Tamandua tetradactyla: one gene and its partners. The protein of the gene in region 3 purifies or fractionates together with the protein of the main gene of each other region. This does not show direct contact. Links are inferred from orthologs where the notes say so. Each region holds a gene or a part of one and is shown on either strand. Other genes may lie near its edges.

Region 1 (9,781 bases), on a different chromosome or scaffold from region 3:
TGGCAGGAAGGGAACAAAGAGAACCACCAGTGCCTCAGGGGAAGTTTTGTGGTCAATCCTTCTCATCACCACACATGAAAGCAGCCATCGCTGCCTGACATGGGGGAGCCGTGAAGGAGTAGAGGTATTCTTATCATATCCTTTCCCTGCCAATCCTTCTGGCCAGAATGACAGACCACACACATACCCAAACCATTCTGAGACCTCACTTTTGCCATCTCTCCTCCGGATCTTTCCTGTCTATGGGGAAGCAGCACCTAAAGGCTTCCAGAGGAACTTACCATCTAAGCCTGCCCCCAGAGGCTGACATCTCTGTGTCCCTTCTGTTAACCTTCCTGTCCCACCCCAGGGAGAGGTTCCCCGTAGAGTCCCATCTAGCCCTGCATCTCTCATACTCTTCCTGTCTAAGCGCCGAGGCTCCTAGTAGGAATAAGTCTCCACTGGATTTCTCAGGACCCCTGTGTGAGGCTGGTAGTGGGAAGGGGTCAGCCCCCCACCTTCTCAGCTGGGGCCATGCTTACCGCATCTCCATCTCTCAACTCCTGCATGGAATGTCCATTGAAATCCTTCACTCCAAGAAGTTCTTCCTGTCCTCAAAGAGCTTCCCTTCTCAGAAATGCACAGAACATAGAGACTCAAAATCAAGAACTCAACTGTGCATAAATTTGGACAGTTCTCTGTAGCACCCTGTGTAAACCAGCCTTCCCAGTTGGCCTGGAAGTTCCTGAAGGACAGAAACCTCATCACCTATCTGTGGGAACCCCCAACTCCAACTCCCTTGCAAATTCTTGCTTATTACCAGCCTGCTTCTACAACACCTCCCTGCTCCCAACTTTGGGGGCCTCATGGCAGGCCCTCACAGAGCACTGCCTCTTCTGCCATTCAACCCACATTTACTGAGCACGAGTACTGAGTGCACAGGAGGCCCTGGGTTAGGAACAGCCTTTTTCACAGATGCCAAGAAGCTATCCACAGTAAGTCAGAAACACATGACACCATCTGGGCCTTAAAGGCTCTCACAGAAGTTACACCTTTGGTAAGTGATCAATGCTTTACTAGAGGTGTGTAAAAAAGAGGAACTGCTGGTGGGAGCATAAACTGGTGGAGGGCAACTTGGGAAACAACCAGCAGTATATAAACACCCCTATCTCCATCTCTTCTTTACACTCACCCAGGAGTATAAGGATATTCACTGCAGTCGTTTCTGATGGTGAAAAATTGGAAACAACCTACAAGTCCATCAACAAGGACCAAGTAAACTATTGCAGTGATAATCAATGAATGGGAGGTAGTAATCAAAAATAAAGAAGAGTTCTCTGATCTGATATGGAAAAGAACACCAAAACAAACAAGTATGTGGAAAAAAGTCACAAAATGATATATGCAGTTTCATTTCATATATTAAACACAAAAATCCTCTGAACTGCCTTCATAGCAATAACAGGGTAGAAAGGCGGAGGGAATAGGGAAGGGATGAAGAATGAAAAGGGGACTCTCCCTTTACACATACACATACACATACACACACACACACACACAACACATCTGAGATATTTGAATACTTACTACTATGTAACAGAACAAAATCTAAGTACAAAGTAAGTGATGCTAGAGCCTAGATGTCAGAAAGTCTAATTGAATGCTACCCACAAGTTCCTCTCAAACTCCATGAAGGGTCTCTGAGTGAGAGAATAAAATACACATCTATTTGCCCATTAGTCTCCGAGATGAGAAAGTGGTGTGGTGGGTGCTGTGGGGTGCTCTAGCATGGAGCCCAAGAGACTGGGATTCAGTCCAGGCTCTGCTGTGACTGCTTAGGTAACCCTGGGGAAGTCGCTGTGCTTCCCTGGGCCAGTTTTCGCATCGTACTGAGTGACAGAGAGGTATAGAGCAAGAGTTTGAAACCACTTTCTGGCTGTGATCCTAGATACATAATTTACCCTTTGAAAGCACTGGTTTTCTCTTCCGATTATTTTAAAAAAAAAAAAGGGGGGGGGGACAAAAATCACTTTTCTCAGAATGTTACATTTAAACGCTAACATGTCCATAAAGTGTTTATCACACAGCCTGGCATAAAACAAGTGTTCAGTAAACAGCAAGTGCTGTTATAGATACCTCATGGGGTGTTGAGATGATCTGATGAGATGTAAACTAAGAAAGAGCTTTGGAAATAGAGCGTGGGACACAAAAGTGAGAAATGCTTTATTCCTCTCCTATTCCAGCCCCAAGCCTCAGTTTTCACACAACCAAAATCCCCGGTGTAGGTGGGAGAATTGTGGGATGCAATCTCATAACCCTGAATTGGGAAAGGAGGCTTTCTTTCTATATCCTGTAGACAATATTCTACTCAGTTATTTATTTGGGTCCCCACATCAGCTAGATAGAAAAAATCAAATCAGGAGGGGTTACCAGAAGCTGGTACTGACAACTTCTGCCAGTAATATTCGAGCCCAGGAACCCTCAGACTCCTCATGCCCCATCCCTGAATCCCTTCAAATTCTCTCATTTCTGATCCCTAGACTCCTCCAGAGAGTCTCTGCAAATGGATCCTACACTTGCCAAGGTCATAGCAACACAGCTCAAGTTCTGACTCCTGTCTACATCACTCTAGGGCACAACCTTCTCTCAAGCTACTCCACAAACCATGGATGGGTTCCTTTCCCAGAAACATCCGCAAATGCATCTCCCCCCAGGATCCTTCTAAGATGCTTCCTCCTCTACTGCCTTTCCAAATTCCTCCTCATTGTCACCATCCCAGATTCCCTTCTCTCCGGTTAGGCATACCCCTCCCCCCCTCCCCCTCCTACTCCCACCTCCCGACTCCAGCTCAGGGTCCTCTACCTGACACCCTTCACACACCTCCCAACTCACAGCCATCCCCCTAACACACACACACACACACACACACACACACACACACACACACACACGCACGCACCCCCAAACTGGAGTCTCTGCTCTCAAGCACTTCCCCACAGGCTCTTTAGGGTGCGTCCTCTGTCCTGGCCACACTTCCATCCCAAGGACTCTTTCCCACACTCTGTGGCCATACATGCCAGGGATCCCCAAAATTTCCCCTCCGTAGGAGGAGGTACACACCTTCACCCTGGGATCCCTCAGAAGTCCTGCCACAGCGATCTTCCAGTTTCGCCGGTCCGAACGCTCCGAAACACACCCCATCCCCAGGCTCGAGGACTTCTTCTCCCGGTTCCCCGCTGGGACTCGCTCAGCCGCTCCGACGTCCCCTCCCACCCACCCGGGGCCCATCAAGCCCCATCTCAGACCCTCGGCTGGTCCGGGAGTGGGGGTGGGGGGAGTCCGTTGCAGTCTTCTGCTCACTGCCATGCAAGACCCCTCGGGTTTTTCTCCGACCCCTCCAACTCCCCTCGTGATCCTTTCCTGAGTTCGCTTAGGTTCCCCACCCGCCCCGGGTCCCCTCCCCTCAGGACCCGTCCGCCGGTGCACCGCTCACTGCTACACGCCGCTGGTTCTGGAGTCCTCCCGCCCCCTTCCTCTGTACGGCCCGGCCGCTCTCACGCCCCGGGCCCCCCCAAGCCCGCCGCCGGGCCCTCTCAGGACCCTCCTCGGACGGCCCCCCACTCCGTCTCCGAGCCGGTCGCGGCCCCCTCCCGCCCCCCCGGCTGTCCCGGCGGCCATTGCTCCAAGATGGCGGCGGCGGCGGCGGCGGGTGAGGCCGGGCCGGGCCGGGCCGGGCCGGGCCGGGCGGGGGTCGGGGGTCCCGGGGCGGCACTCACCTGCAACTCGGCGCGCTCGGCCTCCCAGCGGGCTTTCTCGGCTTCGAAGCGTGCCCACTCGTGCTGGATAAAGTGCAGGATCCCGGGCAGGCTCAGGGGCTCGGGTCCCGCGGTGGGTCCAGGGCTGCTGCCGCCGCCGCCTCCCTTACCTGCCGGGCCCGGTCCGGGGGCAGGGGCAGCGGCCGGGGCCGTTCCAGTCGGGCCGGGACCCGCACCGGAGCCGAGGGGACGGCAGGAGGAGGCGGCGGCGGCGACCGCGGCGGCCGCTCGCTCCTCCATCATGGAGGCCCCGAGGCCGGCCCGCGCGCCCGCTGTGCCTCGCGCGCCTGCGCGGCCGCGCCAACCGCCCCCCCCCCCCCCCGCCTCCCGCGCGCGCGCCCGGCGTGGGGCGGGGGGGCCGGGAGCGAGAAGAGGCCGGGCGCGAGCCTCGCCCACCCGGGTGGACCCCTAGGCGCGCGCAGGGAGGGGGCGGAGGGAAGGGGCGGGGCAAAGAAGGGGCGCGCGCCCCGCAGAGGGCAAATGAGACCAAGGCCGGTGTGCGGCTCGCCCCTCGGAGCGGGAAGACTTTGGGAGGGTCCGCTTGCTGCCCCCCTCTTCCTACTTCGCCCGAAGGAAAGATTGTTACCCTGTCCAGACCCAAATACCACGCCCCTTGAAAATCACTTTCACTCTTGGAGAGAAAGGGCGACTACCGGGGTGGTTTCAGCAGTGACCCCATCCTCTGATTCCTGGCCCAGGTCGGTTGCCATAGTAACCCTTACCAGCCTAGAGCCCCTCCTTCACCTTTGTGGTTATAGAGCCCCACACCTCTCCGGGCCCTGCACCTGGAGGAGGTTGCTAAGGTAACCTAAGTCCCTGGTGGATTCTTCTACTCCTACCACATCGATTACTATGGCAACCCTCCTCACCTAGCACTCAGGTAAAAAGGACCCCAGCCTCAAATAGACTGATCACTGAGAAGCATCTCTTTTCCCCAGCCCCAGGCTCCCCTCCCCCGGCATAGTGCACTCTGTTGGCATTACCATGGTAACCATCTCCCCCCACTTCCCATCGTGGGAGGCCCAGTGGCCAAACCCAGCCAGGTGTTTTTATTTAGAGAAGACGCTCTGAAGGACAGTTACTATGGATACAGGGCCTGGACCATCTCCTGGGAGGTGAGAAACAAGCAAGGCCAAGTCTTGGTTACTCTGGTAATGGGGGAAGGGCAGCCCCTTCCGGTGATCCTGGGAACCAGGCCCACCAAGGTAGGGGACATTTAGGATTGTCTCTCTAGGTGGAATGTGTCTAGGGAAGGCATCGGCATGGTAACAGCTTCCATACCTTTCAGTTCCACCTTTCTGAACACATTATGGGGGGCGGTGGGGAGCAGTGGAGGCACATTACAGGTTGTTATGGTTACTGACATCCTACCCATCCCACTCTATCCCCTTCCCGAGACCCGCCAGGTTATGCCTGAGCTTATGGGGTTTCCAGAGAAAGGATTTCCTGACGCTCTAGTCACCTCTTGTAGGTAAAAATGAAGCTGTGCACTGTTCTGCAGATTGGCTGATTTGGGATTTTCTGGTTCTTCCCACAGCAGTGCAGCTGAATCGGGCAGTAACTGCCCCCCTGGAGTCCCCCCAGCCAGCAGCCTAGTAGGTAAGAAGTCCCTCAGTGTCACCAGCACTTTACATGGAAACTGTCCTTTCCTCGTCCCCAAAGGCTTTCCCATGCGCCTCTTTCTTTCTCTACCCCTCACACTCCCATTCTACAGAAGCAACAACTGAGGCTCAGGTCAGTGCAGAGCTCAGGCCTGGTGAACCCAGTCCCAAAGCAAGTCTAGATCCACTCATGTTGCTCTGTGGGGGGTGGAGAGACAGATGTCTCAGCTTAACTCGCCTTTCCTTCCTTGACTGCCTTTTCTAAAGCAACCCCCTAGTTTTTCTCTATCACAGCCTCTTGCAGGTTTCCTGCCCCCATATGTAATTGTGTGATTTTTTTCTGTCTCCTTCCCTCCTTCACTCCATTTCCCCAGAACACAGTGCCTGGCACAGAGGGCACTGAAAAGATATCTGTTTGTAGAGTTAATGAGTTGAATTCATTAATGTGCCACATTCAGTTTTGAAACCACCTCTCATCTTAGGGCTGGGAAAGGGACACTGACGGTAGACTGAGGGCAGGGCTACCTGCATGGACCCAAGAAAGACAGTGGAGTTTATTAGTGTAAATCACAGTTTCTGGAGCCAGCATCCTTGGGTCAAATCCTGGCTCCTCTCCTTCCTAGCTGTGTGACCTTAGGCAAGTGACTTCACTCCTCTGTGCCTTGGTTTCCTCATCTTCCAATGTAATCATAATGTGAGGATTAAATGGGTCAATAGGTGTAAAATGCTTAGAAGAGGGTCTGGCACATTGTGAGTTGCTAGAATTGTTGGTATTATCATCACCCTGATTCAGGAAAATGGAAAACATTTGGACCTTCAAAATTGTCATTATGTCTGCCTGGCCCCATTGAAGGGGTTTTAGCCCTTATAGTTAGGGAGGCCAAGACGAGCCTCGTCAGGGAACTAGAAGACTTTCTTTGTCCTCTCTGGTCCCCTCACCCCCTCACTGGTAGATAGCACCTCTTTATCTGGGTGTCAAACCAGCTAGAGTCTGAGGACCTGGTTTGGTCCTGCTCAGTGACTCCTGCCCGAGTCAGCTAGACAGAGCCTGGGCAGCAGAGACCTGGGTTCTGGTCCCTGCATCCTTTCCCATCTTTGAGCCACAGTCTCCCCATCTTAACAATTCAAGAACTTCATTCATTCCACCCACATTTTATTGAGCACCTACTGTATGCCAGTTACTGAGCTCTGTGCTAGGGAGAGCCCAGGAAATAAAACAGAGAAAACAGATCTCCACCTTCAGTGGGGACTCAGCAAGTAAACAAGATAGATAAGTAAAGTCTATGGGAGAAGTACTAGAGGGGAAAAATTAAAGGAGGGATGGGGACAGGGAGTCTGTGGAAAGAGGTTAATAAATGTTTAAATAGGGCTGCTAAAATGAAAGGCTCCCTGGACAGGTGACATTTTGGCAGAGACCTGAAGGCTGTGAGAGGAGCCACGTGGATACCTGGGGGCAGGGAGGAGCCACGTGGATACCTGGGGGCAGGGAGGAGCCACGCGGATACCTGGGGGGAGGGAGGAGCCACATGGATACCTAGGAGAAGGGAGGAGCCAGTTGGATACCTGGGAGGGGGGAGCCACGTGGATACCTGAGGAGAAGGGAGGAGCCACATGGATACCTGGGGGGAGGGAGGAGCCACGTGGATACCTGGGGGGAGGGAGGAGCCACATGGACATGGGGGGCCACATGGATACCTGGGGGGAAGGTGGGAGCCATGTGGATACCTGGGAGGAGGGAGGAGCCATGTGGATACCTGGGAGGGGACAGCACTGCCACAGGAGTGATCTGATCATGTCTGCAGAATGATGTTTGGTGAGGCGTGGTGGGGGGCAAAGCAGAGAGGGACTGGGCAGAGCAGACGGGGCCTTGTGGGCCATGAGGAGGACTTGGTTTGTCCTCCAGGTGAGGCTTAAGCCACAGGTTTAAGCAAAGGAGGGACAGGGTCTCACTCGGATTTTAACAGGATCCCTCTGGGCACAGAGCAGTGAACAGACTGTAGGGGACCATGGCAGAAGCAGGAGGATGGTCTCTTGCTGTGACCTTCAAGGACATGAAGATTCTAAAACTAAGGGTCTGACATTCTGTGCTTCTAACTACCTAAATGGTAAGATTCTAAGACCCGGAAGGTTCTCTGGTTCCAAAGATTCCTTCCCCAACAGTGTGACTCCCACGAGGGCTGGGATGTGGTCTGCTGTCCTTGTGCGTCCACTGCTGTCTCCCCGGTGCCTAGATCAGTGTCTGGCATGTTGTAGGAATTCAATAAATACATGCTGAAGAGATGAAGGAAAGAAGGTGGGACCAATCTAAGATCCAGAAGGCAGTGCCAAGGTTATAAAAATTAGAGAATCGCTCTTCAAGTGTGACTTGGGTTTTCAAGCGCCATCTGAGTTGGGTCCAGGAAGGGCAAGCAGGACTGGGAAGGGCAGAGAGGTGGGAGGGCATTTCTGGTAAGAGAGAGAGAGGAGGCAGGAAGACCAGATCCGGCACACGGCACACGGCAATGAAGTCAGAGTTTGGCTCCTGGGACCTGAGTGGGTGCTAGGATAGAGCTGCCTTGGCCTTAGACAAGGAACCCGGACTCTGGCCAGCATTTTCCCACCAAGTGCAATCTCACATGCTGGGGACCCAGTGGTGGCTGAAACACTCCCAGCCCTACCCTCCTGGGGTTCACAGTCCAGTGGGGAGACAGATTCATCCCCAGACAGCGACAACCGAGGGTGGGCAGGGCTGGGATGGGGAAGCAAGGGGCGACCTCTGAGCCAAGGTTTGAAGCCTCAGTAATTTTTCAGGAGGAGGATGGGAAGAAGGGGGCATATGAGAAAAGACTTTTATATACGAGGGAACAGAATCTGCGAAGGTCGAGAAACAAGACATGTTTGGGGGAAAGAAAAGTCCAAGGTGGCTGAGGCTTAGAGCATGAAGGGGGCGTGGCAGGAGAGGGGGCTGAAGGGGTGGGTGGGATGTAAGAAGCTGAAACTTTCTCCCAGGGCACAGGGCAGGATCTGAGCAGGGGGGAGACAGGTCAGGTTTGTGCTTCAGGAAGATCCCTCAGGTCGCCATAGGGAAGGTGATGGGACAGGGACAGGACCAGGGCAGAAGGATGGGGGAGGCTGGTGGGGAACTGGGGGAGCCAGAGGAGGAGAGCTGTGGGAATGGGGAACATGGATCATTGTTTTTAGGAGGTACAGATTTGGCAATCGGTTGGGTCTCTGATGTCCCCTCCCTTGGACAGGGGCAGAGACCAATAAAATCCTTGTGAAAAATTTTTGAGCATCTATAGGGAATATAGAGAGTTGCACCCCTGGCCCTGGGAAACCAGCCCAGTCCACAAGGCACCGTGGGACGGGGAGACAGCGCCACCTGGGGTCATTTGGGAGTAGATGGCCTAAGGCTGACAGCCTCTGTTGATGCGGCCCATGCCACCCTTTTTTTTTTCCCCCTTTCTCTTCCCTTCAGTTAGCTGCCAGCATTTTAAAATTGGGAGAGTTATGCCTTAAAATAATTTTTTTGGCTTTTCTTGCTAAACCAAAATGCTTTGGCTGACCATCAGGAAAAAAATGACCCACGAACTTAAGGAAGTGAGATGGAGGCAGCAGGGGGGTGGCTAAAGCTCAAGGCTGCAGCATAGCAGGGTGTGGGAGGGAAGGGGAGAAGAGATCAGGGGTGGCTTCTTGGAGGAGAGAATGGTAGAGAGGAAGGAAGCGGGCTTGAGGATGGGGGTGAGGGGCATCTATAACTAAACCTGAATCTGAATGAGCATTGACAAAGAACAGGCAAAAGGTGGAACTGAATGGGAAGGGAAAGTGAAAAACCGCTTACTGAACACCTACTGTGTACTTGGCTCTGGGCTGAGTAGTGTTGGGGATGAAGCAGAGACAGGCCCAGGCCCGGGTGTTGCCCTCATGGGTCTCTCGGTCCAGCGGGAGGACACAGACCTGGCCCCACATGGTGATGGCTTGGAGTGATCTGGCTGGGGTGGGGTCACCTAAGGGGCTTAAGGAACCCAAAGAGGGTGTTAAACCAGGCTGGAAGGTCAGGGCAGGCTTCCAGGAGGAGAGGAGATCAAAAGTGGAACTAACTAAGGAAAAGGGGGAATTAAGAAGAGGTGGGGAGAGAAGGGCAAAGCTTGGGGTGAGGGAGGCTCTGACAACCAGCTCCAGCCTCCCCTTTCATTCCCCCTTCCCCAGGATGCCCGGAGGCCCCCCTAGGGCCTGAGTTCGGCCCCATGCGGCTCACCCGCTGCCAGGCTGCCTTGGCAGCCGCCATCACCCTCAACCTTCTGGTCCTCTTCTATGTCTCGTGGCTGCAGCACCAGCCCAGGAACTCCCGGGCCCGAGGCCCCCGCCGTGCGTCTGCCACCGCCCCCCGCGTCACTGTTTTGGTGC
Region 2 (9,794 bases), on a different chromosome or scaffold from region 3:
TGATATTTCCAGAAAATGAACCTTCACAAATAGTGCTAAAAGTAAAGGATTAAATTGGCTTAATCACCCTCATATCTTTGTAAAATACAGGCCAGAATGTACTTCAAAGTAACTTTTAAAAAGTGGAAATGAGCAAACAAAAAGAAGTTAGGCAATTTGCCTAATGAGAGACACAGGAAAAGAGAATTTGAATTAGATCCTCCAGAATGCACAGTGTTCTTTCTCCCCGCCAAAAAGGAGGGCATCTGAGAGTCCATCACAGCTTCAACAAAATTATATAAAATGAGGAATGATAATGCTGGCGAGGATTTAGGGATGCTACAATTGTCAATGGGAATTAGCGGAAACATTTTTTAAAAATGCATACCCAATATATCCCCTGAAGGCTTATCTTTGGCTGTTTCAGATCCTAGAATAATATTCATTAAAGACCCTTGGTAAGTGAAGATTTGCGGTTCTATTAATATGAAGCAACCTCCAAGGTCCATAACAAAGTAATCTGTTACTATGTAAGGCAGGAATTAAAGTCCCAAGGCTGAAGTCTAGTAGCAACACATTTAACCAGTGAGTGAACCCAGCCATCTACTGTGTACTCTGTTATTCTTAATCAATCTTTAGAACTTTAAGTGGTATAACTGTTCTCATTTTTATAGATGAGAAAAAGAAGTAAACTATATTCTATGGTGGTTATAAAGAAGGATGTTAGGACGTATTCCCTCAAGAATGACAACTCAACTATACATTTCTAGCATAATAAAATACTACTCTAAAGTCAAGATTTAAGCTTCAACAAAATGACAAAAAAATTCCCAGATTATCTCAATCTGTCCCTCTAGTAACAACCCACATTCACATGATCACATCATCCACAATTGAAGTAATGACTTATGTGCCATTTAAAGAGAAAGATAAAGGCATATACAAATACAAATTCTCGTAAATTGGGCAAAAATAAGTATCTTCTCAAGCAGCTTAGATTACTATAGACAATGATGCATATATTATTAATTTGTCCCAATTCCTAGTGGTTGACAGACATCTTTACTATTTCTTTACCCAAATCAGAATAACACAACACAGGCAGTTTGTTCTAATGGAAGGCATGAAGAGTTTGGAAAGAGTTGACAACTTTTCTATGCTCTCGTTTCCTCACAAACCAAATATTCTAGTATATGAATGTAAAAACGAATTTGTTGGAGTTGTTGTGTGGTCCTAACAGGTAAAAGTATATCTTAATGTTCAAATTTTCAAATAAATGTAAGGCATTGTAAATTTAATGGAAGAAACATGCTTGTGGGCTTATACATAATGAACTACAGCTTTGTTGCTTAAAAGATGCATTAGGAAACAACGGAAAATTAAAGGAATTGAAAAGGTATTGTGTCAGTTTGAAACTATTATGTACCCCAGAAAAGACATGTTTTAATCCTGATCCAATCTTGTGGGGGCAACCATTTCTTTTCTCTTTTTTTTTGGCACGGGAAGGCACAGCCATTTCTTTTAATTTCAATTCAAAATTGCAGGGCAGAAACTTTTGATTAGCTTATCTCCACGGAGATGTGACGTGCCCATTTGTGGGTGTGACCTTTGGATTAGATGAAGACATGACTCCACCCATTCAAGATGGGTCTTATTAGTTTAATATAGTCTTTTAATAGGGGAAACATCTTTGAGAAATCTCATATGCAGATGCTTGGAGGACAGTTGCTTCAGAGCCGAAAGAGAAATGCTCATTTGGAGATGCTTGGAGTTCTGACAGAGCGAGAGAGAGCAGGTGCCTAGACATGGGCAGAACCCAACAGCCATACCATGTACCTTCCCACGAGGGGCTAGAGGTGACCAGAGTTGTGTCCCAGAGGAGCTAAACGAAGGCCCATAGATGCTTAGAGAGGAAACCCATTGGCATCAGAAGCTGGAAGCAATGGAATGGAACAAGGACCAGTAGAAGCCAGTCACATGCTTTTCCATGTGATGACATCAGCTTTTCTTGAACCAAGGTATCCTTTCCTGGGTGCCTTAGTTTAGACATTTTTCTGGCCTCAGAACTGTAAATCTGTAGCAAAGTAAATTCCCTTCGTAAAAGCCTTTCCATTTCTGGTACATTGCATCTGGCAGCTTTAGCAACCTGATTCAGTATACAGTTTAGGGGACACAGGGAAGAGTGGCTTGATATCAGAAGTACAAAACCTGGAGAAGATATAATCAGATTTTGAGAGCTGGATAAGTCAACCTTTGAATTTCCCTCAGTTTAAACTGCCTCTCCCCTACCAGCAACTTTACCTTGTGACTGGGTAGGAAAATCGTAATCATCTAATTTGGGAGATATAAAAATTACCTCTCTACTTTGAATAGATATAAACACTTAGAAACATGGTAATGGGAGGCAGATACGTCTGCCTGTGGAAACGGCAATGAGACCATAAAGATCAAATCTCAGAAAGCAATATTTTCTGCAACCCAGCCATATTCAGCTCACTTTTTTTCCCTCAAATTTAAAACTAAGGCAATTTTGGGTGCCCAATGTCATTTGCTTGGTAATGCAATTCCAGTACATTACTATCTCCTTAAATCATTCATCTTGGGGAAAAGGATGTAGCAAATGGTCCCTCTTTTTCCCATTATGGCTATGTGCTGTCAGTGGTCATCTCCCTCATCAATATTCCTTCAACCAATGAAATATTTGAATCCTTACTTTGTACCAGGAGCTGTCCTGGCACGGGGGCAATAACTAACACAGGACTCTATAATCCCTGTCCTCAAGGGGAAGACAGACAAAAAAAAAAAAAGTAAACGAATACAATAATTACAAATTGGGTTCAGTGCATGAAGAGTATTCTATCTAATAAAGCTCCAGAATACAAAATTACTGTGAATAGGGTGGTCAGGGAGGACCACTGGTAGGTATATTTAGGTGAAATCTGAGGGATGAGGAGGCTGTTATACCCACACACTGTACATGGGAGAGAGAAACAGGTAAAAGCATTCCAGGCACAGAGACCAGAAAGTGCACAGTTGAGTGGAAAAGCGCATGAAGAAGGGATAGAACGGTGGCCAGTGTAGCTGGAGCTTACTTATAAAGTGACATGAAGTTATAAACGTGGGTAAGGACTGTATCATACAGGGCCTTGTAGGGCATGGTAGGAAGTCTGGATTTCCTCTAAGCGCAATGGGAAGTCAGAGTAGTACTTCACACAGGTGAACTACATGATCCATATTTCTTGTTTATCACGCTGGTGAATGGTGAAGCCTGGCTACTTTACGGTGTTTGAACGAGAAACTTTCTCACTGTCAGAAAAGCTTTAAATGCAGAGAACCAAAAGTCAGATGCAATAATTATTCACGTTTCCATGTCTCATATTTTCCACCTGTAAAACAAGTCGTTTAAGCTAGAAACCATTTCCTTCGCGCTGCGATGTGCCTAGGCGGTGAGTTCCGAGAGGACAGGCCGCATCAGGTTTGCCATCGCAGTGCCCTCATCCCTGCCGGCGCCCGAACACAACTGGCGCCTTGAAACTGTCGGTCAGCGCAGTGAATCAATGAACGGCTTGCCCCAGCCGCGAGGAAGGCGCTCCGGGAACCGGACCAGGCCCCGGGGCGGGAAAAGAACGCGATGCCCGGCACTAGAGACCAGGAAAGCCAGTCGGCTGGGAAGGTGAGGGCCGGCCCTACCACAGCCAAGGCGCCTCGAGCAGGGGAACCGGAGCCTCGCGGGTGGAGGGCGGAAGGAGCTGGACTGAAGGCCCGATACAGAGAGCTAGGAAAGGAAGCCGAAAAGTGGGGCTGAAGAGGGACTCTGGGCCCAGGTCAGTCGAAACAGTCACTCACCGCAGCAGTCGCCAGGCTGTGCATGTTGGGAGCCGCCGACGCTCTCCTCCCACCACCAGACGCGACCGACTCGCGTCTCCGTCTCAGCGCCGCTGCCACCGAAGATGATGAGCTGCCGCAACCGCCATCCGCCAACTGTTCGCTCCGCCCCTTCGCAGCCCTATGACCTCTCACCCCTGAACCCGCCCACACAACCTCTTCCCGCCTCCTGGCCTCTGGAGGAGTTAATCCTAGACTATGCTCTTTGCCCTTTAAGACTCAAGGCGGAAAGGACATCCACGACCTGCGACTCCCTGCATCCTCCGACATCTAGTAGGTAACCCCAGAAAGGCGTGAACTCTATTCCTATTCCGGAGGCCCGTGAAGGGCGGGAAAAACCGGACTCTCTCGGGAGGACAATTAGTGCGCATGCCCAACTAGAACTGAGTAGGAGGGAAAGGTTGGGAGGGCGAAAGCGGGTGAAATAGAAAGTGCTCATGCGTACTACTGTCACGGCAGGGGCGGGACTACCTGGGCTCAGCATCTCTTGGTGTTGGGGGGAGGGGGGAGAGGACGTACGAGGGGCGGAGCTTTCAAGCTTCCGCGCACGCGCCAAGCCTAGTCGCGTCGAGTGTGCGTGCGTGCGTGCGTGTTTGCGTACAGTCACAGTTCCCGCCATCAGCTGCTTTCCCTGGCTAGGGGGGAGCGAGCGACCTAACTCCTCCGTGTTGGTGTCCCTTCTTTCCTTGCCCCCGCCCCTCCCCCTCCACGCGGATTCTGTGCTGCCGGCGGCCTGTTCTGGGGCTCCGGACCCGAAGGCACAGGTAAGGCGCCCCAGGCGAGCTTCTTAACTGAGCCGTTTCCTTCCCCCTCCCCCTTACGTGTTCCGCCCACTCGGCGTTCTCTCTTCTGGAGTTCGCCCCGCTTTTCTCAGTCAGCCCCCAACCCTTCGACGCTCTCCCAAGGCGTCACAGGTACTCCACTTGGCTCTTTCCTCCAGGCTTTCCCTTTCTTATGTACTGGTATTTATTGTCAGTCTTACCCTCCGCAACCTGAAACTGGCCCCCTTACACTGGGGTTGTCGTCATCCGGCACTTGCCCCTTAAGGCCTGCCATCTCTTCAGGTGACTTCCGTTGCTGCACATCCCATCAGGTCTTGGAGGTGAAACTCACTCAGTCTCTGGGCCAGTCTTCACTTTCTTTCCCCTCTTAACCATCAGTCGCTAAAAATCATGAATTGTAGTTTTGTCTTGCATTTTATTGGTCCCTGTCTCTAAAGCCATCAAATCAGGTTGTCACGTTACCTATTTTTATTTTAGATCATGATCTGTGGAAGGAAATGGTAGTCGACCACAGAGTCCTATGTTCTGGAGAATTGGCCAACAGTGGTTTTGTGGTATTCTCTTCAAAATTTCACCTCTTGTAAACGCCTTTTTTGGGTGATAATTTATGACGGGCCTCTAACTGGAATCTAAGAGGCAGTTGGATATAGTGTTGGAGCTCATCAGAGTTCTAGACTGGAAATATGTATCTCCAGTAATGATGTTTATATATGATATGTGTTTTTGTCATTTGCCATATTCGTAGTAATTGAAGTTATGAATGTGGATCCAGTTGCCCAAAGAAAATATGGAAATGGAAGGGATTTAGCTCATAGCGTTAAGAAATTGGTAATATTTAATAACTGGATATAGGAGGATGAGTGTTGGAGAAGAGATGAAATAAGTCAATAGTGTTGAATTGAGGCCTGGAAAACCTGTGACATGGAAGTAATCTGTGATCTTTTTTTTGAACTTTTCATTTCTTTTTTTTTAATTAACTTATTTTTTAAACATAACATACAAACACGAACAATCTTACCGTATGATCATTTCCTTCTTGATATATAATCAATAACTTACAATATCATCACACATTGTGTATTCATCATGATCATTTCTTAGAACATTTGCATCGATTCATAAAAAGAACACAGAAAAAAATTCATACATACTATACCCTTTACCCCTCCCTTTCATTGATCACTAGCATTTCAATCTACTAAATTTATTTTAACATTTATTCCCCCATTATTTATTTATTTTTTATCCCTATGTTTTACTCATCTGCCCGTAAAGTAGATAAAAGAAGCATCTGACACAAGGTTTTCACAATTGCACAGTCACACTGCAAAAGCTATATCGTTATACAATCATCTTCAAGAAACATGGCTACTGGAACCCAGCTCTACATTTTCAGGCAGTTCCCTCCAGCCTCTCTGTTATGCCTTAGCTAAAAAGGGAATATCTATTTAATGCATAAGAATAACTTCCAAGATAACCTCTCTACTCTGTTTGGAATCTCTCAGCCATTGACTCTTTATTTTGTCTTATTTCTCTCTTCCCCCTTTTGGTAGCGAAGGTTTTCTCAGTCCCCTGATCCTGATCCCAGCTTATTCTAGGATTTCTGTTCCACATTGCCAGAAAGGTCCATACCCCTGGGAGTCATGTCCCACATAGAGAGCAGAGGACAGTGAGTTTGCTTGTTGTTTTGGCTGAGCTGAGAGAGGCCACATTTGAGTAACAAAAGAGGTTCTCTGGGGGTGACTCTTAAGGCCTAATTTTAAGTAGGCTTAAGCTTATCTTTTGTGGAGTTTAGTTTCATATGAACAAACCCGAAGATTGAAGGCATGGCCTATTACTTTGGTTGTCCCCATTGCTTTTGAGAATATCAGGAATTCGCCACATGGGAAAGTTGAATTTTCCCCCTTTCTCGCCATTCCCACAAGGGTTTGCAAATACTTTTTTATTCATTGTTCATATCACTCTGGGGTAATCCATGACCTTAGCAGGAGATGTTTAATGTGTAAAATGGAATATTTGGGTTCAGTCTTAGGTCCTTTTATTCTTATCTTCCTCCCTAAGCTTTAAATTCTGTCTCTATATTGATCACTGAAGGATTTTTATTTCCGGCCCATTCCTTTTGTGTATATGTGTGTGTGTGTGCGTGCGTGTGCGTGTGCATGTGCATGTGCACTCCAGATCTAAATAGCCAACTTCCTGCTTAACATCTCAACTTGATTTTTTTTCCTTAGGAATTTCAGATATAATGTGTAAAATCGAAAATTTTGGTTTCTCTTCACTTTTAATTCTTTCTTCTCCATTTCCCCATTTCATTAAATGGCATATCCATTTATCCAGCAACATTAGCTAGAAACTTGAATCATTCATAGCTTCCCTCTCATCCCATTTATCTATTCCCTCTCCAAGTTCTGTCTTTTCACATGTTTACATATGTGTGTGTGTATGTATATGTGTATGTGTGTGGTATATGTATATTTTGAACTTGTCTGTCTGCATCTTCACTATCACTTTTCTTATTCAAGCCACAATGTTTCACCTGGGCTTAATCAGTTCCCAGTATTCTTATTTGTAACACGGGAATAATAAGAGTTCCCACTTTATTGGATGGTTATGGAGATTAAATGATATAACTGTGGTAAGCACTTCGCACACAGTAAATGCTGATTGTTATTGTAATTGCTATAAGCTGAACAGTGTCAGTATGCTTTCTGGTTGCCCTGTCCATTCTTGCTCCTTTCCACTCTCCTCTCCAAACCCAAACAAAATCACATTACTTTTCCATTCAGCATGATGTTTTCTGATCACTAAGTGCTTATTACATTTAGAAAAAAAGTTTTAATTTTCGTGACTCTGCATAACATGGTTCTTGCCTGCATATAACAGCATCTTGCAACATTCTCCTTTCCCTCACCAAGCTTCAGCCTTGCTGCTGCTTTTCAGTTGCCCCAAGTTCTTTCCCATCGCAGCGCCTTTGCATGTGCTATTCTGTTTACCTGGAATGTTCTAACACCACTCTCCATCCCCTCAAATTCATTCTTCAGTTTTCTGCTTACGTGGTACTTTCTCATAGAATCCTTCTCTTTATGCTCCTTACCCTGTGCCCCTAAATCTCAAATTAGATACCCTGTTATAATCTCTTTTCATGCCCTTCATATCATTTATCAGAACTTGTAATTATATGTTTGTTTCTATGATTAAAGTCTGTCTCTTACTTGAATATAAGCTAGGGACGATTTTATTTGTATTTCTTAATAATTTGTTGAAAATAAATAAATTAGTATTTGCTCTGAGAACTAATCATGTCTTTTGGAAGAGCTAGCTTACTGATATACTTGTCAACTCATGACAACAATTTTTTCATTTTGCAAAATAGATTAGAAGACACAAGAGACAAAAGCTTGAACAGCTTTGTATCACTTTAGTCGTTCTTATATCATAAAATCATTCAGATTTTAGACTTATAATTGGACTTAAATTTATCTAGGCCAACTTCCCTCACTGTCAGCCAGACCACTAATTTTATCTCTGTGTTATTTGTTGTATGGATCTTTTTAGGAAAGAAAGGCCTCAAAAATCAGGACAGTGATTTATATATTTGAACAACAGGGTAACTAAGACACTTGAAGATGAGGTTTCCATGTAGATAAAACAGTATTCCATTTATAAGTCAGTTGGTGATGGATGTGGGAGGAAATATTAAATTTTAATAATTGTTGTTTGTGTAGGATAGGATTTGTGTTTAGAAATAGGAAATGTGTGAATGACAAGCACAGAGAGGCATTTGGATTTATTCTGTAGGTAGTGATGAGTTATTTAAAATGTTTGTGAGGAAATTAATATTGATAGAAAAAATTTAGCACCTACTAAGTGTTTGGTATTTTGTTGGAATACAAAAAGATGTGACTCCCCCTACTCTTTACCCTCCTCCCCCCATTCTGGGAGAGTGTTAAGGAGACAATTAGTCCATAATGAATTGGGAAGATATCAAAAGAGTAGTTCTTTTAGAATGATTATTGTAATATAAGTGATTCGTTGGGTGGAAAAATCCTGAGAGAATGGAAACTGGAAATCAATTGCTGCAGTTCATTGATGAGGATAGAATATGGTAATTTTTAAAGTATGGGCATTAGACCTAGTTTTATCTCTTACTCTGTGATCATAGATAAATTACTTAATCTCTAAGCCTTTCGTTCTTATCTGTAAAACAGAAAGCAGTAATCCTTATCTTTTGAGATTACTGTGAAAATTAATTGAGAATGCACTGTGCTTAGTAAATTGCATAATAAATATTGGGTGATCTGATGGCAAAGTGATGAGTTTCTGAATTAGGGTAGTAGCTATGAAAAGGCTGGATTCTTGGGTTTTGGATACTAAGCTATCTTGTATGAGTGGTGATAGGCAGACAAAAGTAGAGAAGTCTGGGGGCCTCTTTATAAGGGCATAGACTTTCATCTTCACATTTGTTTCTCTACAACAGTGCCTTCAGATTGGTGTACCTCAGTAAATGATTTTTTACCAAATGAACCAATGAGTTAAGATAGGAATAAATTTGAGAAACAAACCCACAAAGTTTTGAAAGAAAAGTTAAAACTCCAAGTTTATCATCTTTAAAATTTGCATAAAAATATCATAGAAGTACTGTCTTAATACTTAAACCATCATTATGTAATAATGTCTATAAAGTCAACATAGGATAAACTCTTTTTTACTGACTTCTTAGTTTCAAAATGTAACAGAGATAAGTAAACCAAGACACAAATTGATCAAGGTGCAGGCTCCTGGAGTCCCTCATTTTGCATAACATATATGTTCTTAAAGTTATGTTCATAGTTTGTGTGTATGTGTATGTTGAACATCATATTTTAAATGTTTTCAGTAAGGTAGTTTGTGGTTTTTAAATAATCAAAGGATTAATGTTGCATAAATGGCCACTTTTTTTTTCAAGTTTTAATTTTGTATATTGGATTCATTTAAAAAGGCACATTTATATTTTCTTTATCTCAGTTGATGGCTTCCGGAGAACTGGCATAGCTGCAGAATATGAGTAGTTCCCCAAGAAGAGTGCTTTGCCTTTGGCACAAGGATCAGAATAAAGATGAATTATTATTACATAGGGTTTTTCAGTAAAAGTCCCTGAAAAGTAAGTAA
Region 3 (9,871 bases):
AGAATCCAATTCTCAATATAAGGATTGACTCCATGAGTGACTGAAACAGGAAAGGATTTTACTGATAACTTTCTCTGAAGGCAGGAAGACTAGGCAAGCGGACTCTCTCAATGGCTTCTGGAAATGCTCTCCAGTCTTAGAATTGTTTCAGGTTCAAAGTCACTGCATTCTTTACAGACCTACACCAGAAGGCAAACTTGTAAATAGCAGCTATCTACTTCATGCCATCTTGTCACCTAGATGATAAGTGAAGACCTTCTACAAATTCAAGCTGTATAAGCTACCCTGTCTTAGGCACCGAGTTCAAAGTTGAAAGGAATGGAGGTCACATTTGAAATCAAGATTTTATACAGCATAGAGTTAATTGAGCTCTTGGGGCAAGAGTGAAAGGGGTGGCCCAAATGGCCCTCTTGCTGATCCTCTGACCATTATCCTAACTGTTTGAACTTTACTTTTCCAAAGCACTTCATCTCCATACCAGTGAGGGCTATGACAACCTGTTCTATTCCATACCATAAAGGGTGGTGGTATCAATTCCTCATTTGGGGAATAGCTGAACACTTAGTTTCAGCAAAGTTCTCTGCAACCTTCCTCCCGTTATTTTGCCAAAGCACCATCTCACTGCACTCCAAATGCCACCAGCTCCCCAAGCTGCAACTGTTCCCACTATATGCAGTGCTCTACTGGGAAAAAGACACTACTTAATGCCATTACTGCTGCTGCAGATCAATCTCCCCATTCCCTTGCCTAAGGTATCTATTATCAATATTTGGACAGCCAGCACATCAGAAAATGGTAGCAGCCTAGAAATACATTCCCAGAACTGCCAGCTTTCCAAGTGATACTAGCTCCACAGCCACATGAAAAGGAAAGGAAGAGAAAGACTTCTCCAAAGAAAAAACACAATAACAAAAAATCATTTGAAAGTGAACATCTCTGTCAGCAACTACCACCTAGCAACAAGTCCCTCTTAACAGTGCTCTAGCTACTGTGAGCACAGCTTCATTGTTGCAAGAACACTGCAGTCTAAAACTTCTATTTTAGCTGGTTGGACCGTAAAGAGAAGATGTTTGATTTATGAAGTGGGTCAAGCAAAAGGAGGAATGAAAAAGGAAAGAGGTCAGCCTGGGGTCTTCCTCCTCCATGTCTCATCCACTTCGGTAAATGCCAATACTTATTCCTTATGAGAAGCCAAGAGTTGCAAGTCAGAATATTCTTCTGGAATATAACCAAGCTTGGACTCAGAGAAGGTTTGAAACAAGAGGCCCAAATCTTCTCTTGGATGATTCTAACTTTACTTCAAAGGCATCTCTCAGATGGAGGCTTCCAGAATTCTGTGATTCAAAAAACAACTCAGAAAAGATAATTCTTAATTGTGTGTATATAATAGAGAGGCAAGAGGAAGCCTAACAAGCCTGACTAATGAATTCTTTCTCTAAACAAGCTTTGTGCTAAGAGCTTTCACTTGTTGAAACATGCAGTTATTCAACAAACATTTCAGCCCCCATTAGGGGCAAAGCACTGGTAGAGACACTGGGGATGCAAAACTGACCAAAACAAAATCCTAGCTCTCACTGAGCTTACATTCTACTCAGGGTGGACAGAAATAAATATGTTAGTTGCTGCTAAGTACTTTGAAAAATATATAAAGCAAACAAAGGGAGTGCTATATAAAATTTTATATAAAATACATGAAAATAAAGCAGGGGAGGGCGTGCTATTTTAGAAATAATTGTCCCAGAAGGCTTCTCTGATTGTAATTTGATAACATTAATAACAAAGGTCATCATAGGGTGACTATGTGCTGGGAACTGGACTAAAATCTTAATGGCAAGTATTTCATTTAGTCCTTAACAACAATGAGCTCAGTGCTATTACCATCCCCACTACATAGATGAGAAAACGAAGCCTTAAAGAGGTAAGGCTCTATGCCGAATCTGTAGTGAGTAAGGGGAGAAGGGGGAGTAAGGCCATGGTTACACAGTAAGTGAGGAAGCCTGGACTTGAACTCAGGGTTCGGTGCTGCGCTGGCTTAGAATTGGAGCTTCAAAGAGGTCAGGTGGGGCTGTGTATCACAAAGTGACAGCCCATCTAGGCTTCCCACAAATGGCTAAGAGTTTAGTGCAATTCAGTTATCCTTACTATCAGACTTTTACTCTCATCATCAGTTGAAAATCAAGCCTTATCTTGAAATTACAGGAGAAAGACAACTTCGGCTCTTTAAGGCCAGCTAATAAATGCTGAACATGTTCCTGTCCTATACCCCCCCACCCCTCTCAACACAAGATGATGGAGTGAAGGGAAAAATGTTTTGCTGCTAATTCTCCAGGTTTCCATTTCTCACTAAGAAACAGGACAGAACAGAAGATGACAGAGCTAGCAAGAGATGACAGTGCCACAGCAGTTTTCTGAAATGGAATGGAGGGAAAAGGCACTGGGAAAAGGTCAGCAGCAAGGAGAAAGGAGGCCCTCTCTAGCCCCATGTTAAAGAAAGCACACCTTTCCCTCAAGCCCTGGAATACTGGGGTGGGAATGGGGGAAGGGGAGTGCTTTCCTAAGAAGCATGAGGCAAGGCAGACAGAAGCACTGGGAGCATGTCACCTGGCTCTCCTGAGGGAAGGAGAGAATAAGGCAGGAAGCAACTAAGGAGGGAATAACATTGCTTCAAGCAGAGAAGTCCAGAAGGGAAATACCACATCCAAGGTCAGAGGATTCTTGCAGAATTGCTGGAAATCCCAAAATGAGGGTCCAGGCGAAACTATCATGGGAGGCTAAAAAGAAAAAGAAGCCCAAGTAGAGTCCCACAAGGTTCAAGCCAAAGGTCATGGTTTGGACCCACCCATTTTTTAAACTGTATTTCAGTTACTACAGCCACAGGAACCTGAATAGTCAGAGTTAATCAACAACCAAATGGGAAGGGAAGATAGAGCACATAAGGGACTTGAACTCAGTCTGGATTTCCATCTTATACTCCAACTGACTTAACTTGAGAATCCCAGTTTAAACCCTGGTGAGCGGACCTTAAAGAATCTTCCTCCTAAAGCCTTCAGGCCCGCCCTGTGCTGCCACCCTCCCCCTGCCCCCGCCCCCAGCAATTCAATGCTTAGCCTTTCTCCCTAGCAACTTATCACTTCCAGCAAGCCATATCTCAGCCCAACATTGCACCAAACAAATTATGACCTGAATGGCAAGAAAAAAAACTGTGTCACCTAGAGAAACCCAATTAACGACGTGACTCTGCTCTCTTCAATTCCCTTCTCCCCTCCAGTCATATCCGGGGCACCTGCATGACTGACCGCCTTTTCCCGCTACTGGCTGTTTCCCTGGCTAAATCAAAAGCCACGAGTCAATTTGAACAGGACCTCCAGTAAAGCAAACCTAGAGGGGAGAAGCCCTGCTCTCCCCACACCTTAGTCTGCTGAGAAAGCTCCAAGGGCAACTTTCCTGGCTGACAGTCTGTGGAGTATTCACCTTGAAACCACTGAGTTGCCCCTTAAGTCAAAGCTCCCTGCTGAAGGAAAATGAGTGAATACTACTGAAAGCTCCTCAATGTCAGAGACCCCATGAGAAGCAATAAACGGGTATTTCGAAGAAATTCCTGCTGCAGTTGTTTCCCCTCACCAGCCTTTCTAATTATTTCCTCCCTGGATAGATTTCCAGGGCCTGCTCCTCCCACCAGCCAACATACCCACCGCTTTTCCAAACCTCCTGACTGACCACAAGCAGCACGTTTTGTGTATGTATGTACATATAAACATCCTCTTCTCAGCCCATGCTAGTTTCTGAAGAGAATAAATGCTTCCCCTCCTCCCCCAGTGCACTTGTCTTTCCTTCCAGTCCCACACTGCTGCAGAGTTGGTAATGTAATATTCAAGGACCCTGACACCGGAAATGCCTGGTTCTGGACTGCTACACTTGAAACAGGAGAGAAGGGATAGGGAAAACTGAACAAGGAGATGAGGGAGAAGGTAGAAGGTGTGCGGCGTTGTGGGGAGGCTGAAATTCCGACCAGGGAGGAGATGCAATTCAGGGGTGGGTGAGGAAAAGAAATGGTGATGAGGGGGAGGCTGTCAAGATGAGTTGCGATCAAAATTCGTAGGGGAGAAACAGGAAGAGAAGGAAGGATAAGTAAGGGTAAAAGTGGAGAGAGGGTCAAGAAGAGGTAAGGGGCCAGAGAAGATTCTGCAAAGATGGGGGGGGGGTATAAGTTTAGAGGAACTAAAGGGTGGCCCTCAAACTGGGAGGGAGAGGTCCCGTACCTCCCAGCAAAAGTAGGGGTGGTAGGGCAATGTGGGGGCGGGGCACCACAGGGTGGGGACCAAATTAGCTCCCAGAATCTGCCGCGAGTCGGGGGGGGGGGGGGCGGGGTGCAGAGGGGGAGCCCTGCAGCACGAGGAGCCCGGGAAAAGGGCAGTGGTCGCGAGGGGCACGAGGCTGGCGGAGGGGGCTCCCGGGGAGCATGTGAGGCGTGCGGCCCCCTCAGTCTCCTACAGCGGGGTTGCGGCCTAGGTTGAGGCTGGGGGGGGGGCGGCGAGCTCACCCGCAGAGCGGACAGGTCGATGTCGTCCAGGCTGCGGGCGGGGGCTGGGTCGCCCATGGCCTCTGCCGGGAACCGGGCCCCAGGGCCGCTCACGCTCCGGCTCGGTTATTCCACTGCCGCCGTCGCCGCTTCTCCCCCATCGGGGGACCAAGGGGTCGGGCTCCACCGCGCCTCCCCCGGAGATCCGGGATGGGGGAGGGCCGGCAAGAGGTCCGACCCACCGACTGACAGGAGCTACCGCCCGGAGCCTGCAACCCGAGCCGCCCGACTCTCCTGCGCAGGCGCAGAGCGTCCGTGTACCCGGAGGGTGGAAGAGGGAACGTGATGCGAGCGCGCCGGGTTCCCCCTCCCCCTAAGCGCCGACACCTGCGCGCAGGCGCAAGAGAAAGAGCGAAAGGCGCGCGCGAGGACTTAGCGACCGCACAAGCCTGGCGTGAAAGGAGTGGGCGGTGGCCGGGGCGGCCGCGGAGCGCGCCCACCAGCTGGCGCGCGTGCGCACGCGCGTCTCCTTCCCTTTTCCTATTTTTTCGTCTTCCCTCCCCCATTTTCCTTTTAGAATTCTGTTGGTGCCTTGCCTTTCTTTTCCCTCCTTCTTTCGTATGCCCAGCTGCCAATCAAGCCACCCACCTATCTAGTTGCGGGGGAAGGGGGGCGGAATCCAACCCCCTTTATTACTTGGGGGGTTGTTATGGAAACTCCCCACGCGAGGGCTGGGTAGCCTCTAGATGGGATGGGCTGTCTGTCCACCCACCCAATTGCCATGGCAACAGTGGAGCCGCTGTGGGAAGGGCCTCTGGGTGAGAACCTAGGGGAGAAGCCTTGTGGGGGGGGGTGGGGACAACTAGCAGCCTCAGAACAGACCTTTACCCCCTTCCCTACCTGGCATGGGAGCATTGAAAAGGGGAAGTCAGATCTCAGGATAGGGATTCCTACCGCAGACGTGTATCTCTGCACCTTTCTAAAGTTCCTTTGCACAAAGGAACTGTTTGAACATTTACTCACTGACTGATCACTAAAACTGCACCGGAGGAGAGTCAGGGAAAGAGGAGGAAGCTGTCACCAACTCCTTCAAATCTCGCTTGGGTCACCTTCGATCTAGTCATGTTGGCACAACACCCCCAGTCATTAGCCTCACTGGAGGCTGGAAAATTCTACCTAAAGAATAAGGAGTCATATTCTGCTACTAATATGCTGTGTGACCTTGAGCAAGTTGCTTTGCTTCTCTGGGCTCTTCTTTCACTAAAGTTGAGGGGGCAAGGCTGTATGATCCTGAAATCCCTTTCACCACCACAGTTATCTCTGAAAACCCCCCCCACCAGCCTTAATATAAACATTACCTAGGAAAGTTTGAAATTAAGGTCTTTGGAAATGGGCTGAATACTCTCCTTCCTTGGCACATTAAGTGGACATCCAGTCTTGCCCTCCCTCTCAATTCCTATTTACACTGCCACTGCCCTTATCTAAGCCACAATCACCGCTTGCCTCCACTACTATCAGCAAATTCTCCAAACCCAGAATAATTTTTCTGAAACTCAAATTTGATGCCACTCCCCTGTTTAAGACCCACTGTCTTCTAGGTAGAGTTAAAGACTCAAGATTCTGCCAGTTTCTTCTGCCTTATTATATTTTGGCATTTTTCAAATATAAGAACAGTTGTAGGTTTACAGAGAAATTATGCCGAAAGTACAGAGTTCCCATATAGGACCCACAAACATGCACACACAGATTTCTCTGTTAAAATTTTGTAAGTATGGTAACTTTGTTACAATTGATGAACCACAATTATTATAATTCTATTGTTAACTTTAGTCCATAGTTTACATTAGGGTTCACTTTTTGTGTTATACAGTTCTATGGGGTATTTATTTTTATATTCTGGTAACATAAAATTCCCCATTTTAATCACTTTCAAGTATGCAATTCAGTGGTGTTAATCACATCCACAATGTTGTGCTCCCATCAACACCACCGGCTCCCAAAGCTTTTCCATCAATCCAAACAGAAACTCTACCAATTGAGCATTAGCTCCCCATACCCTCCCCCCACCCCTCTGGAAACCTGTATTCTAATTTCTGACTATAAGAATTTGCATATTCTAATTATTTTATATAAGTGAGATCATACAATATTTATCCTTTTGTGTCTGTCTTATTGCACTCAACAAGGCTCATCCACATTGTCTCATGTATCAGCACTAGCACTTCATTCCTTTTTTACAGTTGAATAATATTCCATTTTATGTCTACAACATTTTGTTTATCCATTCTTCTGTTGATGGACAATTGGACAGTTGGATGTCTCCACCTTTTGACAATTGTGAACAATGCTGCTATGGAACATCTGTGTAGAAGTCCCTGCCTCCAATTATTTGGGGTATATATCTTGAAGTGGGATTGCTGTGACATTTGGTAATCCTATACTTAGCTTTCTGAGATACGCTAAACTGTTTCTCATGGTGGCTGCACCCTTTCACATTTCTGCCAAAAATGTACAAGTTTTGCTATTTCTCTACATCCTTGCCAATACTTGTTATTTTTTATTTGTTTTTAATAGTAGCTATTCTAGTGGGGGTGAAGTGGCTACCTTATTTCTTAATACTCTGCCACTAAACCTGATATAGTCCAGCCATACTGAGCTATTCTATTTATACATCCCAAAATTCGATATACTTTTCTCCAGGCTTTGCACTTTATTTCTTCTCCCTGGAGTACTCCTCACCTCCTGACCAGCTCACTCTCATCACTCTTTGCCTTGTCTTCATGGCTAAATTGCCTCTTTCAAAAGGCCTTCCTTGACCCACCAAGACTGATTTTGGCCCCTCTTCTGTCAGCTGCCAGGTTTAAGCCCATGGTAACATTAAACAATTTGAATTGTAAATGTCTTGTTGAATCTCCTTTAAGGCAGGAATGAGGTCAGTCTTGCTCAGCAGAGGGCCTGGCACCCACTAAAAGGTCAATAACCCTTAAGTGAATGGAGGCATCCTGTTGTCTGGGTAGGTACCGTAAAAACATGGTAACTCAAGGTCAAGACCATTAGCTAGTACGGTAGGAAAAAAACAGAATTTGAAGTTAGCACTTTGGACAAATCGCTTATAACCTCTGTGAGGTTCAATTCCATCGTGAATAAAATAGGGATGATAATTTCTACTTTATAGAGGTAAGATAAAATAAAATTTGGGACATAAACCCCTTGGTACACATTAGGTCTTCCCCAGCGCCTGATACACAGAGTGTTTAATAAAGAGATACTGAATGATTAAGCAAATCAAGATTACAGGGATGGGATAAATGGTCACCAAGCTCGAGACAGTGTCTTCTGAAGGGGACAGAGAAGCAAGACTGGTCCTCAGTTGGTAATTTTTGAAGCAGGATGATGGTGTGATACCTAGATGCATGAGCCTTCATTATGCTAGCCTTTACTTTTGTATTTACTTGAAATTGCCCATAATTAAAACCTTAAAAGAGACTATGTGGTGGAGTGGAGGGAGTCCCGGACCATGTGTCAAAAAATATTAAAAATAAGACCAATCATAAGACACCTGGAAAGGGGGGCAAATGAATCCTTTGCACAGACCCACCCATCTTCAGAGCCTCCCAACTCCCTTGGGTGGTTGGACTCATTCTTTCAATTCCAGATCTTCAGCCAGTTCTCTTGATTCCAAGACCACTGCTTTTTGGCCCCTGCGCTGTGTAGACTCCATTCAACAAACTCCAGGCCTGACTGAGGAGGACAGCTGCATCCACAGACAGTGTGGAGAAGCAGCTTACCTAGAGCTTCGCCTAACCTGGGGCAGCTGCTGTCTCCACCTCACTCCTCAGCTAAGGAGGTAATGGTCCCCCTAGGGGAAGAGGCACTTACTGCTGATAATGAGGCCAATTAGTAGAATTCCAATTAGCACCGGGAGACCACTACACCAAGTGGGAGGGGGATTTTTTATATGGAAGTGGCTGCTAGAGAGGAACAGAGGGCTGGAGTCAAAAGAAAAGATGAGGGCCAAGCAAAAGCGTTCCCTCTCTGCACGGTATCACCCCTCTGACCCTTCCCTCTTCCAGGAATGCTCCTAACTTACTAGTCCCCTCCATTTCTTCATGCTACTAGGATCAATTCTGAAACTTGGAGGGAGAAATGAGGCTGGAGGAGTGAAGGGCAACAGCCAGGGCCTGCACTAAACCTTTTTAAATTGTTATTATTTCAAATATTTCAGACATATGTAAAGCTTATATATATAATAAAAATCTGTCTACCCACCACTCAAAGAAATGTTACCAGTTTAGTCAAGGCTCTCGATATACTTCTTATCTTTCTCTCCACCCACCCTGGGAGGCAACCCCATCCTCTGTCCCAGGCCTGCTATACTCTTTCACAGACTATGCCATTTAGTTCTCTCTTCCCCTAGAGCAGCGTTGTTTACAGAACTTTCTAGTGATGAAAACAATCTGGGCCTGAGCTGTCCAAACACGCTGCCCACTGGCCATGAGTGGCTATGGAGCCCTTGAAATGTGGCCAGTGCAACTGAGGAACTAAATTTTTCAATTTTTTGTTAATTCTAACTCATTTAAATTTAAATAATCAAATGTGACTAGCGGCTACCATCTTGGACAGTGAGACACCAGAACACAGCACCACGAGGCGGGGAAACCTTGTCTGTTATGCTCGCTTCTGAGTCGAGAACGATACCTGGCAGATAGTGGGTACTCAAGAAATGTTTTAGTCAAGGCCTGAATCCTTGCAGCAAGTCAGGCATTTAAATATTATTCTCACTGGGGACCATCAAGGCCCAGAGAGGGGATGTGGATGGACAAGGTCAAGTGACAAATCCAGGATTTGGATCTAGTTCTTCCTGACTGAAAGCCCCCACCCAGGCATCGCTGTGTGAACACCTCCTTCTCTCAACAACCCGGTGACCGAGATCCCGTAGAGCGGAGAGGGAAATGGGAGAACAAACAAAGGAATGGGCTGGAAAAGTTCCCCTCCCATGGATGAGGTGAAGGGCACCAGGGCTACATATGGGCAGGGAGGGGTGACTGAGAACAGCACTCAGTTCCACTGAGGAAGAGGCATGGACATTTTTTTTCACTTTTATTTATGAAACGCTTATTGGACTGATACAAAGTTAGTGTCTGTCAGTAGGCTGGTGGAGGGGGTTAGTGTGGCCCCTCCCAGGTGGGGCTGAAGCCTGAAGGCGGTTTCACCCTTCCCCCGACCTTGGCAGGAAGGGGCTAGGGGAAGCCCTTGAGCAAAGAGAGGCTTCAAGGGCAGGAGGAGAGGAGAGATGGGGAAGGCCCAGGACACAGCCCCCTCCTTCTGGAGTAACAGGCTTGACCCTGGCTT

What was found.
Region 1: the proteins of MINK1 (region 3) and STRN4 purify together in Homo sapiens (affinity purification with mass spectrometry; 3 studies listed by BioGRID and IntAct, with this or other methods). This does not show direct contact. The link is inferred for Tamandua tetradactyla from reciprocal best matches to the Homo sapiens genes MINK1 and STRN4.
Region 2: the proteins of MINK1 (region 3) and CNOT9 purify together in Homo sapiens (affinity purification with mass spectrometry; 3 studies listed by BioGRID and IntAct, with this or other methods). This does not show direct contact. The link is inferred for Tamandua tetradactyla from reciprocal best matches to the Homo sapiens genes MINK1 and CNOT9.

Annotation. Positions count from the first base shown.
Region 1 is NC_135342.1:14,476,775-14,486,555, reverse strand, and holds the start of STRN4 (striatin-4), read right to left. Parts: upstream 4,055-9,781; 5' UTR 4,038-4,054; coding exon 3,756-4,037; intron 3,689-3,755; exon of another isoform or gene 3,661-3,688; intron 1,958-3,660; exon of another isoform or gene 549-1,957; coding exon of another isoform or gene 522-548; intron 1-521. Other genes in the region: ribitol 5-phosphate transferase FKRP, read left to right, coding at 4,878-4,909, 5,332-5,393, 7,360-7,500, 9,584-9,781. UniProt on the Homo sapiens protein: Calmodulin-binding scaffolding protein which is the center of the striatin-interacting phosphatase and kinase (STRIPAK) complexes.
Region 2 is NC_135329.1:194,076,963-194,086,756, reverse strand, and holds the start of CNOT9 (CCR4-NOT transcription complex subunit 9), read right to left. Parts: upstream 4,350-9,794; 5' UTR 3,850-4,349; coding exon 3,826-3,849; exon of another isoform or gene 3,631-3,825; intron 1-3,630. UniProt on the Homo sapiens protein: Component of the CCR4-NOT complex which is one of the major cellular mRNA deadenylases and is linked to various cellular processes including bulk mRNA degradation, miRNA-mediated repression, translational repression during translational initiation and general transcription regulation.
Region 3 is NC_135332.1:60,561,792-60,571,662, forward strand, and holds the start of MINK1 (misshapen-like kinase 1), read right to left. Parts: upstream 4,895-9,871; 5' UTR 4,598-4,894; coding exon 4,541-4,597; intron 1-4,540. UniProt on the Homo sapiens protein: Serine/threonine kinase which acts as a negative regulator of Ras-related Rap2-mediated signal transduction to control neuronal structure and AMPA receptor trafficking.